Linked DNA regions of Daphnia pulex. The protein of the gene in region 1 interacts with the protein of each later gene in a pairwise test. Links are inferred from orthologs where the notes say so. Each region holds a gene or a part of one and is shown in the gene's direction. Other genes may lie near its edges.

The links. The genes of interacting proteins can lie anywhere in the genome.
Region 2: the proteins of cysteine protease ATG4B-like (region 1) and gamma-aminobutyric acid receptor-associated protein interact in binary tests that used the Caenorhabditis elegans proteins (3 or more experiments, as listed by UniProt). The link is inferred for Daphnia pulex from reciprocal best matches to the Caenorhabditis elegans genes atg-4.1 and lgg-1.
Region 3: the proteins of cysteine protease ATG4B-like (region 1) and microtubule-associated proteins 1A/1B light chain 3A-like interact in binary tests that used the Caenorhabditis elegans proteins (3 or more experiments, as listed by UniProt). The link is inferred for Daphnia pulex from reciprocal best matches to the Caenorhabditis elegans genes atg-4.1 and lgg-2.

The regions. Positions count from the first base shown.
Region 1 is NC_060025.1:3,217,307-3,222,498, reverse strand, and holds cysteine protease ATG4B-like, read left to right. Parts: upstream 1-2,081; 5' UTR 2,082-2,276; coding exon 2,277-2,469; intron 2,470-2,536; coding exon 2,537-2,701; intron 2,702-2,754; coding exon 2,755-2,941; intron 2,942-3,006; coding exon 3,007-3,086; intron 3,087-3,163; coding exon 3,164-3,291; intron 3,292-3,365; coding exon 3,366-3,444; intron 3,445-3,496; coding exon 3,497-3,636; intron 3,637-3,697; coding exon 3,698-3,901; 3' UTR 3,902-4,093; downstream 4,094-5,192. Other genes in the region: glutathione S-transferase Mu 3-like, read left to right, coding at 656-691, 778-918, 993-1,175, 1,251-1,346, 1,509-1,709; multiple inositol polyphosphate phosphatase 1-like, read right to left, coding at 4,284-4,570, 4,629-4,705, 4,771-4,880, 4,956-5,056, 5,118-5,192. UniProt on the Caenorhabditis elegans protein: Cysteine protease required for autophagy. Cleaves the C-terminal amino acid of ATG8 family proteins lgg-1, to reveal a C-terminal glycine.
Region 2 is NC_060018.1:4,840,017-4,844,214, reverse strand, and holds gamma-aminobutyric acid receptor-associated protein, read left to right. Parts: upstream 1-1,840; 5' UTR 1,841-2,021; coding exon 2,022-2,111; intron 2,112-2,331; coding exon 2,332-2,595; 3' UTR 2,596-2,849; downstream 2,850-4,198. Other genes in the region: 26S proteasome non-ATPase regulatory subunit 10-like, read right to left, coding at 2,850-2,902, 2,983-3,147, 3,204-3,359, 3,433-3,484, 3,558-3,671, 3,743-3,886. UniProt on the Caenorhabditis elegans protein: Ubiquitin-like modifier involved in the formation of autophagosomal vacuoles (autophagosomes). When lipidated mediates tethering between adjacent membranes and stimulates membrane fusion during autophagy. Recruits lipidated-lgg-2 to maturing autophagosomes.
Region 3 is NC_060019.1:5,714,440-5,719,699, reverse strand, and holds microtubule-associated proteins 1A/1B light chain 3A-like, read left to right. Parts: upstream 1-2,002; 5' UTR 2,003-2,718; coding exon 2,719-2,764; intron 2,765-2,848; coding exon 2,849-3,011; intron 3,012-3,198; coding exon 3,199-3,361; 3' UTR 3,362-3,917; downstream 3,918-5,260. Other genes in the region: cytosolic beta-glucosidase-like, read left to right, coding at 4,259-4,415, 4,494-4,624, 4,727-4,858, 4,983-5,105, 5,189-5,237. UniProt on the Caenorhabditis elegans protein: Ubiquitin-like modifier involved in the formation of autophagosomal vacuoles (autophagosomes). When lipidated mediates tethering between adjacent membranes and stimulates membrane fusion. Less effective at promoting membrane fusion than lgg-1.

The DNA.
Region 1 (5,192 bases):
GCAGGGCTAGAGAAAGTCGCGGCCTACCTTAGTTCGGATAAATGCATCAAGTATCCATTAAATGGACCTACGGCCCACTGGGGTGGAAACTAAGCAAATTTTTCATCTATGGTACACACCACTATCATCTGTGAATTTAATCGTTTTTTTTTTGTTAGAATTTACGAGATAAATTTGTATTATAAAGTTATTCAACATTCCTTGTTAATGGGGAATACAACGTTAACGAAAAATGTAATTCTTATTGATTACTGTTCATAAAGATTCTTTGTGCAATACTCTATAAACGGAACCAGACGCGGAGCGTTGCAGGCTTGCGGCCGTGTATTTAGAGTTGCGCAGGTCGCGTTTGTCATGCAAGATACATTTATGACTATCACGGTATCCGGTTGTACTCGATTGTTGAAAACTAAAGTATTCATAATTTTGGATAGGAATTATTAACATTTCGTCCAAACATTGGAAATGCGCAATTGCGCATCAATCGCTTTATCACTTCACACATTGTAGATTGTACTATGCCCCTTCCCATCCCTCAACTTTGTAATCTTTTTCCTAAGCGCACAGGCTTACTGAGTCGTGAGTCATTCGAGCGATTCGACTCCTGAGAGAAGAACGTCTGCAGTACAGTACGGCTACTTTACCTGACTTTATCATGGCTGTCAAAACTGGTTATTGGAATATTCGTGGGGTAAGTTAATTAAGAAAAGAACATTCAACTGTTTTTGTCTCAATCGTTTTCGAAACTGTGTTTGACAATTTTGGTGTAAATAATAGTACATGCAACCTATTCGACTTCTTTTGGCCCATGCCGGGGTTGAGTATGAGGAGAAGCGTTATAATGTTGGACCGGCTCCCGACTATGACCCGAGTGAGTGGTTGAACAACAAATTTAACCTTGGTCTGGATTTCCCGAATGTAAGTATATCTGCTATTTAATGAACATGTTGGTGAGTGCAGATGATTTTTTTAATGTCATGTGTCTTTATTAGTGCCCTTACTACATTGATGGAGATGTCAAGCTTTCACAAACTTTTGCCATTCTGAAATATTTGGGTCGCAAGCATAACATGGCAGCCAAGACTGAGGAGGAGCAAATCAGAGTGGACTTGATAGAGGCAGAAGCCATTGATATGCGTTCAAAGTGGTCCACACTGTGCTATCATGATGATTTTGTGAGTATAATTTAAACAGCATTTTCAATATTTGTGTATGCTTTGACTGTTTCTTCTTCTCAATGTTTATTACAGGAGAAGATGAAACCAGATTACATTAAAAATGTTGCAGTGAAGTTGAAGGAAGTTTCCACCTTTCTGGGAAGTCACCCATATTTTGCAGGACAGAATGTATGGTGACATTTTCTTTTTAGACCTTTAACAGCCAATGTAAAATTTCACAGCAAAAAGATTGCAATTTTTGAAAATGAAGTTTCATCAGCCTGGTGAAATTTTCTTTTTAGACTTTCAATTGCCAATGTAACCTTTTTAATTATTGAATTTTTTTTAAAGATAACCCACATGGACTTTGTGATGTATGAATTGTTGGACCAGAACTCTCAATTGATTCCTGGATTACTTGATGAATTCCCTAATCTGAAAGAATTTCACGCGGGAATCGGAGCGCTAGAAAAAGTTGCAGCTTATCTCAGTTCGGATAAATGCATCAAGTATCCTTTCAATGGACCTATGGCTCAGTGGGGCGGAAAATAAGCAAAATCGATGTCTACCATACTCATCTTTGAATTTTCTAATGTTAGACACTTAGACTTAACTTAGGCCCTTAGACTTCACTAGATAAAATTTGTTTTACAATTTACAAAGTTATCCAACATTCCTTGTTAATCAATTCAACACATTGTTTAAAAAAATGTCATTCTCAATTATTGTTTATAAAAAAATATGTTATTATGGTTAAATCTAAATTTTTCTTTTTCATCATTTTATTATGCCCTTTTTATTAGTTGGCTTGGCGGTATAGTATATTACGCGTACAACGGAGCGTTGCAGCCGTGTATTTTTACTCGCGCAGGGTAAGCAGGATGACTTGCCCGTTTCTACAGGATATAATTATGAATATCAAGTTCAATCGGTCATAGCTATTAGAGCCGATTAGAGTTAGAACCATGTTAGAACCATGATCTATAAATTGGTTTATAGTTAATTAGCAGTTTATAGATCATAGTTACAAAATCGGGCGCAAGGTGGCTTACTGTTGACATATTAGCAGACACATCAGCAAACTTGTTGTCAATTTGTAAATGGTAGTTTCGTCTCCGAATGCGATGCGTAATTCTAGTTATTAAGCTATTAATTTCCATTTTTAAAATTTTTGTTGTCAACACAAAAAGAATGCTTGAAGCCTGTGAAGCTTTTGTAACTTACGAGAGTGGCATCATTCTTGAACGTCAGGGATTCGAAGTGAATGATGAACCTGTATGGATACTCGGCCGAGAATACGACACAAAAACTAGTAGGCGTTTAATAGTCACTTCTAGCCAAGAACTTCACTCAATTCAAGATATTTTTTTTTTTCTTAGAACTGGATGAACTTAATTCAGATGTGAAGTCCAGACTGTTATTAACATATCGTAGAAATTTTCCTCCAATTGGAGATTCTGGTATGACTAGTGACCGTGGTTGGGGTTGTATGCTTCGTTGTGGCCAGATGGTTGTGGCACAGGCTCTAATTAATCAGCATTTAGGTGAAATTTTTAAATTCTAATGTTTTTTCCATGTTTAACATGATTTTTTATAGGAAGGGAACCATTTTGGCCAGTAGGGGATGATCAAAGAACAACTGAATCATATAAAAAGATTTTAAAGCTTTTTGAAGACAAGAAAACAGCAGTCTACTCTATTCACCAATTAGCTCAAATGGGAGTAAGTGAAGGCAAAGAAATCGGACAATGGTTTGGTCCCAACACTGTTGCCCAAGTCTTGAAGTAAGTGCAGTAATTTTAAAATGCTCACATACATTACTATGTTATTTTTTGAACCTTTCCTAAAGGAAATTATCTGAATATGATGAATGGTCAGCATTGAAGATCCATGTTGCTATGGATAATGCTGTTGTTATTGAAGAAATTGGTTAGTCACAACATCAATATGTCAAAGATCTTTTAAGAAAACTTCTTTACACTTTATCTTTTTATTTTATTATACAGAACAGTTATGTCACAAGAAAATCACCCCTACGGAAACGGAAACGTCTACGTGGAGTCCGCTCTTACTTGTTGTTCCCCTACGGTTAGGTTTACTGAACATCAATCCAATTTACATTGACAGTCTGAAGGTAACATTAGAATAATGTTGTAAATGTAGGATGTGTTTGATAATCATAAAGATATTTTTATTGTAAATTGCTAGGCTTGTCTTCAAATGCCTCAATCGATTGGAATGATCGGTGGGAAACCTAGTCAGGCCCTTTATTTTATTGGTTACGTTGGTATGTATAGACATCACTTACATCGGTTCAATTTTAATTGATGTTTTTATAGGAGACGACGTGGTTTTTCTGGATCCTCATTTGACCCAAAACGCTATCGATCTTGACGAAGATGAGTTCGACGACTCTTCTTATCATCCTGCCACATGTGCGCGGATCTCTTTTCAATCCATGGATCCCTCTTTAGCAGTGGTATGATATACGTAGAGAAAGACTAAGAAAATTATGTCTTATTTTGTTTCTCGCATTTTAGTGTTTTTCGTGCACTACACATTCCGAATGGAAGGATTTGCTTCGACAATTTAAAGACATGACTGAAATAGGAAAGAAACAAAATCTATTTGAAGTGTGCAGTCAAAGACAAGCGGAGTGGCATCCGAGTACCACGGATTTAGCGGATGAAGCCATTGCTCTTGACAGCGCGGATTCAGAGGATGAATTCGAGATCTTGGGTTGATTTCTTTTGAGTTCTTCTGAACGATGTGTCTTACTTTAGATTTCATACGAATAATTTGTCTGCGATTTGTCTGCGACTTTGTTCATTATAATAACGACCGACAAAGACTTCGAAAAACGTTATTTTAAATCGATTTTTTTTGCCAGATTCCTATCACGAAGCGTTTAAAAATACAATTAAATGGTAAATATCGTGCCAAGCATTTTTAATACGTGAAATATCGCATCATATTAAAACGGAGATACCCAATACCCGAGAACCACGTTTATATCTGATTGAAAGCATCGAAACCAGGTGTCACATTACATATGCAAAGTTTTTGGCCCCTATTAAATGCACTTATTGAATATTGGCTAGGGTACAACATATTGGAATAAAATGATTAGATACGGCAGATGTCATCAACATTACAAGAAGTGGCAAATTTTTCGTATTTTTTCGTGAAATCTGAATACTTGCATAGCTCACTTGAGCATCCAGGCAGCATGATAGGACGTTCTTGTACGTAAGCAGTGATATAGTGGCCATCCGAGCAGTTGAAAAGGACCAGCGCTAGGTGGGCGGCAAAAGAATTAATCAATGACGTGCGCCATTCCCGATTCTTCATAAGATGGCGATTTGTATGTTTCATTTCGATGGGATCTTTAAATAATCCAAATCGGGCCATCACTGTGCAACACAAAATTTATTATGATCAAATAATGCTATAAATAATATAGAAAATCACCTTTAAGAAGAGTTGCAGTATGAGTAAAGTAAAAGATTCCCTTTGGATTTGAAGAAGCTGGATTTTCCACAACATGCCTGGAGTTGAAGGAAAAATGACGACACTGTGCGACTGTATATTTATATTTCTTTTATGTCTTTACCTAAAACTATCGTAGACGTTCTTCAACGGCATACAAGCCTGTTCGTAATTTATGGGAAACCCATATCCGTCTTCATAGTAATATTTCAGATCCTCGCGATATTCAAGTATCTAAAAGGTTGCGATTAATAGAAAAGAAGTTATCCTTGATTAACTACATTGAACTTTTTAATCACAACTCTGAACCTTAAGGTCTTCTTTGCTGAAAACTGCGCACCACGGCGAAAGCTTCTTTGGACGCCAAGCTTTATCAAACGTGCACATAGTGTACATTTCATTAATATCATCTAAAAAGCACAAATTATTCGTTAGTTATAAAATATTCAGTTAACGTTGGCGATTTCTTACTGAGGTTGAGTGGAGATAAGAAACCCAACCGATTGGTAACGGATTGGATGACAGATAACATTTCACCCGATTCTT
Region 2 (4,198 bases), on another chromosome or scaffold:
CGTCATCAGATAACTAAATGTGAAGGGTTACAGTTACACCAACAACTTTACTGTTCTTCTGAAGTATTTCCACATGTGACGAAACGTACAGCCGTACGTAACCATTTTCATGACAGGGAAAATATAAAAATTTTATATTTATATTTATATAAAATAAGTTGAGTAAGTGATTTTTTTGAATAGCCACCTAGTGTGAAATCAATCGCCAACTAAAGCCATCTCATGGCCATCTAGTGTGACAAAACACTAAAGCCATCTAGTATAACAATCGCCAACTAAACTAGCCGCAGTGTATAGTGTAAAATAAAATTGGTGAATAACAGCAGACGAAAACAAAATCCATGAAAGAATAAGGAAAAAGCCTCGTCGTTAAAAGACAAATTTGATGAACACAATTTTTATTATAATGAACGTTCCTAACAAAACTCAAATATTTGAGTTGTTCCGATCTTGTATCCGTTACAGTGGGCAGTTAAAACTATCCGACAAACGTTTGGTTTCAAAGAGAATCAAAAGTGAGTTTCACAAGAACAAAACACTTTCGAATCCAGAAGAAATTTGCAAAGCCTACGAGGTTGAAATTATTTTATAGTGTTTCATTAGTGATAATTCAATTTAAAATATGTTTTTTTTTGCAGAAGGGACAAAGTTTTCTGTCCAAGAGGAGATTGCTGTGACAAATATGGCTAAAAAATTCACAGTACTAGTCCAGTCGTTGAAAAGAACTGTGTGTCCAGCACATTATCGATACAAACATACATTTGATAATTCAAAAGTGCCAGTTTTACATCCTGAAGATTTAGAAGAGGAATTTACACGAGGAAGTGGCCCTGGAGGACAAGCTGTAAATAAAACTTCAAATGCTGTACTTTTACGTCACAAACCTTCAGGGTTACTTGTTAAGTGTCACCAGACTCGCTCGTTAGCTAAAAACAGAGAATTAGCCCGTGAAATCTTAACCCAAAAACTCGATAATCTAATCAATGGGGAGGACAGTATTGAGGCACAAAAAAATAGATTGTTAGAAAAAAAGAGTAAAGATAACACTAGAAAATCAGAAAAATTGGCTGAATTAAAAGAGAAGTGGAAAAAGAGAGAAGGTATTGAATAGATATTGTGTAATGTGAATGTGTTATACTGTCATGGAATACATTAGTCTTTCTTTCTTCAAATGGTTTTGATATTCTTCATCTTAATTTTACTTTAAATTTGTAAAGTAATTTTGAGTAGTTCCTATAATTCTATAAATAAGCTAGCTCATTTATTTAGATAGCTAATTCATTTTTAAAGATTGCAACAGTAAAAAAAATTCTTATGAAATAAACTGTGTTTAATAATAAGTTATTAAAAGAAAGTGAAATGTAGCTAATGATATTTTCATCACTGTACACTGAATCCAGTTGATTTGAGCCCTTATTAGTCTATAGTCTATACTCTTAAACTTAATATAATAGTTCAAATATAAAAGATTTTGTTTTTATACTTTCGCAATCTGATTATATGAGAGACAAAATTCTAATTTTATAGATACAGCTTTAAATTTTTCTCATTACGATTGCATCATTCAATCGACAAATTTTCTCATTTGAATTTACCGCATGTGGATTTATGGATTGGACATTGGAGGATGGTTGGATAGTATCGATCGTTAGTCCTACTTAGTAGCAAAGGTTAAGACATTTCATATTTTGATTACTTTCAAATCACCATGTAACTTACTCGGGAAATTCTTAAATATTTATTTTTTTATCGTTTGAATGAATTGAAAAAGATAACTCACTTAATGAAAATACTGATATAAATCGAATCTTGCGAAATTTTGGGTAGTAGGCTATATCGATAGTTAAAACCTTAGCCTGCCCCTGCCAGCCCCTCTGTTTCTGCAAGAACAAAATAAAACGTACTGCGTCGTTTGTTGATAGAGACCTAAATTCTTTGTCGTTCACCATTTTAACTTTTTGTCAAGTTTACTCGCTCTGTGCGGTTTTCTCAAGCTGTCAAATAAAGAATTATCCACCATTATGAAGTGGCAATATAAAGAAGAACATCCTTTCGAAAAACGAAGAGCCGAGGGGGAGAAGATTCGTCGAAAATATCCTGATCGTGTCCCTGTAAGTCACTCTCCTTTGTTAGGGTATTTCCCTTCCATCACTTTTTGTTTACCAACTTTCTCTGAGAACAAGCCAAATTCAACCAGTTGAAACTCATTTGAAATTTATTGTTACTTAAAACTAGTGTTGTTCTATGAATTCAGAACTGTTTCAAATTATATCTGCTGAATATGTGAAACCTATCATTTTAATCTATTGGATTTTTTCAAACAATATTTAGGTCATTGTTGAAAAGGCTCCAAAAGCAAGGATTGGTGATCTGGATAAGAAAAAATATCTGGTTCCATCTGATCTTACTGTTGGCCAATTCTACTTCTTAATTCGCAAACGAATCCATCTGCGACCTGAGGATGCATTGTTTTTCTTTGTCAACAATGTAATTCCTCCTACTTGTGCTACAATGGGAACTTTGTATCAGGAACATCACGAAGAAGACTATTTTCTTTACATAGCTTATAGTGATGAAAGTGTCTATGGAAATTAATTATTTTTCAGACAGGTGCTTTCCATTGAAATGTCAGTGACATATTTCCTTTTAGAGCACTTTGTACACTGTATTCTGTTGCTCCCTTCTCCACATCTTCTTGACTAATAATCATACTCCAATTATTACATTTTGTCGATCAGAATTTCAGTTTCACCATGTTTGGGTGTTTGGTCTTTTTTCGTGTACAGTACAGTGTGTATGTATGATACATCTGTAATACAGTTACTGGCGTTAGATACACGGAAGTCAAATTAGAATGATCGGTGTACGTTCTCCGCCTCTTTCAATAGCATTTGGACGTGTTCTAAAAAAAATAATTATAAGAAAGATATAAAGTGAGGGAATTGATTTGTGTAACTCTTAAGCCATAGCATGTTCACTTACTCTTCTCTGAAGCAAAAGCAGAAGGTGGAGCTTTACTGTGAGTAGTCAAAATGAATGGATCAGCTCCTCTTTTCAAAAGATGATCAACTAGCCATTTCTCGCCTGTTGTAGCAGCCCAGTGTAAAGGAGTGAAACCAAATTCGTTCCTTGAGTTTACATCGCATCCTATTCCGAAAAGGTGCTTTAAAAAGGCAGAGTATAAACGTTTTTAAAAGCGGTACCTAGATTTGTGAGGCAGTCTATTATAAGAACACCACGCTGAATTTCGCTGCTTCGTTTTTGAGCACACTGAGCAGATTGAAGGCGACACGCGATTCCGTAGATAGCCATGTAAAGGGCACCATCTCCGTTAAGATTGTAGAATTCGTTATCCGCTCCTGAGAGCACGCAAGTTGAGTTCATCACTCTTTGTTCGATATTAGAAATAAAAATACTCGATTTTTAAATTACCGAATTCTAGCATGAACTGAATGAGTTTAAACGATCCTCCAAAGCAAGCTGACTAATAAAAAAGCATGAAAGAAGGTTAAAAAAATCTTGTTATGTTTTTGTTAATGCATCAATTTAACTGTTACCAAAAAAGGTGTTATATGGGAACGCTGCAAATTGCTACTCGGTGCATTAGGAGAAATCTGATGCTTTTTCATTAGAGCCACACAACGATCTTCGTTATTCATCTCAAATGGGAACTGCGCAAAAAGGTTATCAATAAAAAATTGTTTGAAACTTGATGATGCATATGAGTCATTTGAAAAGAAACCTTTGCTAAGTAGCAAACAAGATCAAGGTCTTCTTTTTCTTGATCAGAATGCTTTTTCTGGCGGCGATATAGGTCATAAAGGACAACAGCAGCAATCAACGACGAAGAAAGAGAAAATACCAGAAAAATTGCCGAATCAAACATAGCTTTCAATGGTTTTTGCGGTGTGATTCTGGAAACGAACAGATAAAAATGTAAAAAAAAAATTACGCAATTTCAGATATTCATACATTTCCTCAACGTTTACTTAAAGTAATTCACGGTCGGAAAGCCTTAAGAAGTTTTCACGTCACGTAATTTCATTTTTCAACGTGCCAAAATTTGGCCACCATTTGATCTTTTTTAGTTTTGTTGTCATGAGCATGTCATAAGTTTACAACCCTGCACCCAAGTTCTGTTTAGAAATGGCGTATTTGGCTCGCAGAGTGGGTGTAACTCGCCAATAAATGCACTAGC
Region 3 (5,260 bases), on another chromosome or scaffold:
GAAGTTTTATTTCTTTAAGAAAGAAGAAAAAAAAAAGGTTTCTTCTTCCTTCTTCATGGTGGAACCGTACCGAAATATACAACTTTCAACAATAACTTTTTTGAAAAAGAAATTAGGTAAAATAAACAGAATTTTGAATTTTTTGTTTATTTCTCGATCAACTCTCAATCAGAGCCTCTAGCGGTCGAATTAAATAACCTTTGCCATTTTAAGTCAGTTTCTTGGTTTCTCTCGTGAGATTGTTTTTAAAATGATATCAAATTGACATTTTTCGTTTTCGTTCAAAAATAAAACATTAAAACGCAACGACCAAACATGGTAGAAGAGGGGGAATGGCGATTGGCGGGAAAGAAAATACCGGATGAATGCACCCCGCTTATGTGAAGTTGAATGGAAAAATTTTGTTCTTTTTCTTTTCTTTTTTATCTTTTTGGGGTTCAGGGGGTAGCCGCCGCCATTTTGTAGGGAGGGATTGGGTGAATTTTTTTTAACCCCCGAAAAAAAAATCCCTGACAATTTCAAAAAATCCAAGAGGCCCCTTGGGGCCAAACCGAAAATATTAGGGGGAAAAGAAGATGACACAAACACAGACGAACGACATCTACCCCCCTCCTCCTCCTATGCTGGCTAATGAAATGGAAACCAAACATGAAAATGTCAACTATTCGTATTTTTTCGCCGGTATTATTACTGTTTGGCTTGTGTGTGTGTGTGACGTCTGTGAGTATAATAATAATCTGAGAGAGTTTGTGTGTGTGTGGCGAAAGTCGGCGACACAACACACAGCGATAAGATTACGATTGGGAAATGGAAAAACTTTTTTTCCACACACAAGATGGCCGACATATATATTTACACACCTGATTGGAAATGGTTATAACCATTTGACACATTTTACGACGGCTCGAATTAAAAAAAAAAAAATTATTACCTGGCGAAAATCGACGAAAATGTGATTTTTGCAGGATTAAAGATGGCGGCAGCAGTCGATGACGAATTGCATTCCAACCGATTTCTTCTGATTTCTTTTTCTCGATTCAATTTTTTTTTTTCGATTCGAATTTTTTGGGTGAGATGATCACTGACACACACACACACACACACACACGAGGTGGGGGTGCACACTGAATAGCCAAAAACTAACACGACACTTTCTTCTTGCCAAACGTTTGTGTTTCTTGTCGAGACGAATCTCGCGGGTGGTTTCAATTTGACCCCCAAATGATATCAGGAATTAAAAAAAAAAAGGTGGCGAAGCGAAAAACACACACACACACGATATAACATACACCACCACCACTCACACCACTCGCACTTGAGCCGCGTTGTTGTAGCTGCTGCTGGTTTTTTCTGCTACTCCACAGCTGATGGAATCCTCCATCTTGGACGCGAGACTGGTGGCAAATATTTCCAACAACACAGACCCCCTCCTCCTCCTTCGACCGGCTTACCAGACAAAAATTGCTTCCAAAAGTTGAATCGATTTTTCCCCAATCCACGAATAACAGAATTCGACGCGGAAAATGGCCGGTAAATTGAAAACGAGAGAGAAATCCCCTCCCCAATGAAAAAATTGAAGTTTCCGGGGATTTTGAAGAGAAAAACTTGTGGGGGGGCAGAGAAGAACAATGGCCGCGCTGGAGCCGTCTGCTGTGCAGTTTCAAAATGAAAAACCAACTGTGTAAGACACTTTTGATCACACACACACACCAATTTGGATGATCAATTGATTTTTCACGAACAAGTTGATTGTCAAAGTTGTTGTCACTGCACGGAACGCGAGGATTGGTGTTGTCCAAAAAGTGACGCGTGTGTGTCTCTGTGTGCAGACCTCAGTCTGTGTGTGTGTGAGCAAGGGAAATTCACACACTCTCATGCAGCCACACTCTGAGCCGTCTGTGGTGTCTGAACCAATCGCTGCTGTCGAAAATCCACGCGCGTCCTGTCGGAAAAAAAGATTGGACGCCCACTGCCATCTAGCGGCCGATTAATAAACGGTGAAAACTGCCATCTATGCTGGTTGGAGACAAAAGCCTCAAATGACGTCGAGTAACGCAAGACCAAGAAAGATAAAAATTGAAAGGATGAAAATAAAGAAAAAGAAATACGAGAGTGGGGAACTCAAGAACATTGAAAATGGAAAGGGAATATTCGGTCGAGACTCTATTTGTATTTCATGGGGCTTTTTTTTTTCCTCTCTCCCTGCTGGGAGATGATGGGGAAATGGGTGTCTAATAAAAGTTTTTGCGTCTTTGGTAGTTTTTTGATTGCGCATTGCAAACTTATATATATACACTCGAACTTTTTTTTACGCAGTTCACGTTCGTCAGCCCCAGTTTGAGTTCTGGTTTTGTTGTTGTGACAGTGCACAGTCTGCTTCAACGTCATTCAGTCGTGTCGTCACACGCCTCGAAATTTTTCTCACCGAAAAGAGCAATATTTCCATTTTTTACTATTTCATTCCGCTCGTTGAATTTCCAACTTGTGGAGAGCAGAGAGAGGAAATCCATATTTTCAGCAACGAAAAGCGTCAAAAGTCGTCGATTGGAACACACGTAGTACATAACAGCCTGAGGCCAAGGACCTGCGCGTTAGTACCCAAACTCGCCTTCCTTTGTTGTTGTTTTGTTGTTGCTGGGTCGCTGGGGTGTCAGCTGTTTTTTCGCCCAAGAGTTGTTTCCTTTCTTTGCCTTGCACATTTTAGCTGCCACAAAAGTGATGAGCAAAATGACGCATACCTCCTTCAAAGAACGCAGGAATTACGGTGAGTTTGCAGTATTATACAATGTTCATTTGTCGATGTTGTTTTGATTGTGTCTCTTTCTTTCTCTACGACGATTTGTTATAGGTCAACGAGTCAAGGATGCGGACATGGTGAGAGAGCTTCACCCAAACAAGATTCCCATTATTGTCGAACGTTTCGCTGGGGAGAAGAATCTACCTCTCCTGGACAAGACTAAATTTCTTGTCCCCGATCATGTGACTGTTGCCGAGCTCATCAAAATATTGAGGTACCCATTTTGTAATCAGTGCAATCATCCTGGCCTCAATTCATTGTGGCTGCTAGAGCTCGTGTTTCTGAAGAGGGCAGCACTTTATTTTGTATCAATCAACTTGGCTTAACCCAATTTCACATTTTCTTGTGCAATGCAGCATTTATTTCATCATCCTTTTTATGATCTCTCCATTTGCCAATAGACGCCGTATGCAACTGAACCCCAATCAGGCCTTCTTCCTGCTGGTCAACCAACGCAGCATGGCCAGCATCTCCATGACTATGGGTGAACTCTTCCAAAGGGAACAGGATGAAGATGGTTTCCTCTACATGGTCTACGCTTCTCAAGAATCCTTCGGCAACTAAGCTGATGGCTAACCAACCAATATGGCTTCCCCCCACCTCCCGTCTGATCATGATTTCAACACAAAGAAAAAAAATATATGTACATATAAAGTTAGTTCCAATTTGAAGCAACAATTTGTGACAGATATCCTTTCAGCTTTGAAAGAGATGCTACAATAGCGAGACACAGTGTCTTAGATTCACTTTTCTCTAAATTTTTCTTTTTTGTGGACAACAGCAGCAGTGGCTTGTCTGGAAAAAAAAACAATGTTGGGTTACATTTCTCTTTCGGAACGATTGACATTTTGTTTTCCTTATCGTTTTAATATCATTATTATGTTTCGGTTTTCTGTTTTCGTCTTGTCGGATCAGTGTTCAATCTTGCAAACCGTACTTATGTAATAATCACACAGAATTTTGTTTTCTCATTGTTCCGAGACACAAAGGAAAAAAAAATGATAAATGTACAAAAAAATGATTCATTTTTTGAGATGAAGAGTGTGTCTGTATACCCGCGATTCGAATTCTGTTAACGTACTTGTGTAAATCGTTTGAATAAACGTATTCAAACCACGGACGGCTGACATTACGCCCATTGGTTTCGCTAAATTATTATCACCTAAAACAAAGAGAATGTTGCCGTGCGCACAGCTTTGGTTGTCGTAATGTTTGTATTGGTCGATAACACCATGATAAACACGCTGACGCCACAGCCTGGCCATCAATATAAAGTGCGATAAAGAATCCCCACCAATAAACGGCATCGTGACCAGCAGTTACGTGTTCAATCGATCGTTCGTGAACGTTCGAAGCTGTACGGTTTCAATTTAACAGGTCTGTTTGATAACCAAATATCGGGGTTTTTTAACCGTTATACTTTAATTGCCATTCAATTGTGTGTATATATGTAGATAGAAGATGGTGATGAAATTTGCATATTGGCTACTGGTAATAGCCGGCGCTGCGGCCGGAGTTTACGTGGATGAGCCACTGCTCTACGACACGTTTCCACCCGATTTTATTTGGGCCGCCGCCACCAGTGCACACCAAATTGAAGGCGGATGGGACGCGGACGGTAGCCGCCTAATGACATGTCCATTAGTCTCGACACTTTTTTTTCAAATCAAATTCCTTTGAAAATGTAAATTTCCAGGTAAGGGGCTGAACATTTGGGATGTCTACACGACCAATTCGAGCGTGGTGTTAGACGGGTCAACCGGTCAGACGGCCTGCAACAGCTATTACTTTTACCAGAAAGACGTCAACGCCCTCCAGAGTTTGGGAGTATAAATGAATTCATTAACTTGATCTATTCGATACACTATATGCTACTGCATGTAGCCTTACAACCCACTCATTATCTTCTTATGGTGATGATCTCCAAAGGTGTCTCATTATCGTTTCTCCATCTCGTGGGCTCGAGTTCTACCCAACGGCATCGGTGAAGTTAACCAGCCGGGCGTCGACTACTACAAGCGACTGATTGCAGCACTCAAAGCCGCCAATATTGAACCCATGGTGAATAAATAATCATTTCATTTCGTAAAATAATAGGTCGATGGCCTCTGTCTATAACCTATTTCCCTGGATATTCCTATATTATACCTTGGGGTGATTTTTTTCTTCTTCTTCAAATAATTAGGTGACTCTGTACCACTGGGACTTGCCGCAAGCACTGGAAGACATGGGCGGATGGCTAAATCCTAGCATCGCCGATTGGTTCGAAGAATACGCCCGTCTCTGCTACACAGAATTCGGCAATGACGTAACACAATTTTTCGGTCGTTACTTTAACGCATTTAGAATAATTGTTGACGTTTTATTGTCATTGCTGAATGTTTTTCCAAGGTCAAAATCTGGATCACAATTAACGAGCCGTGGGTTGTGGCGTACCAAGGTGAAATGAAATGATAAACATTT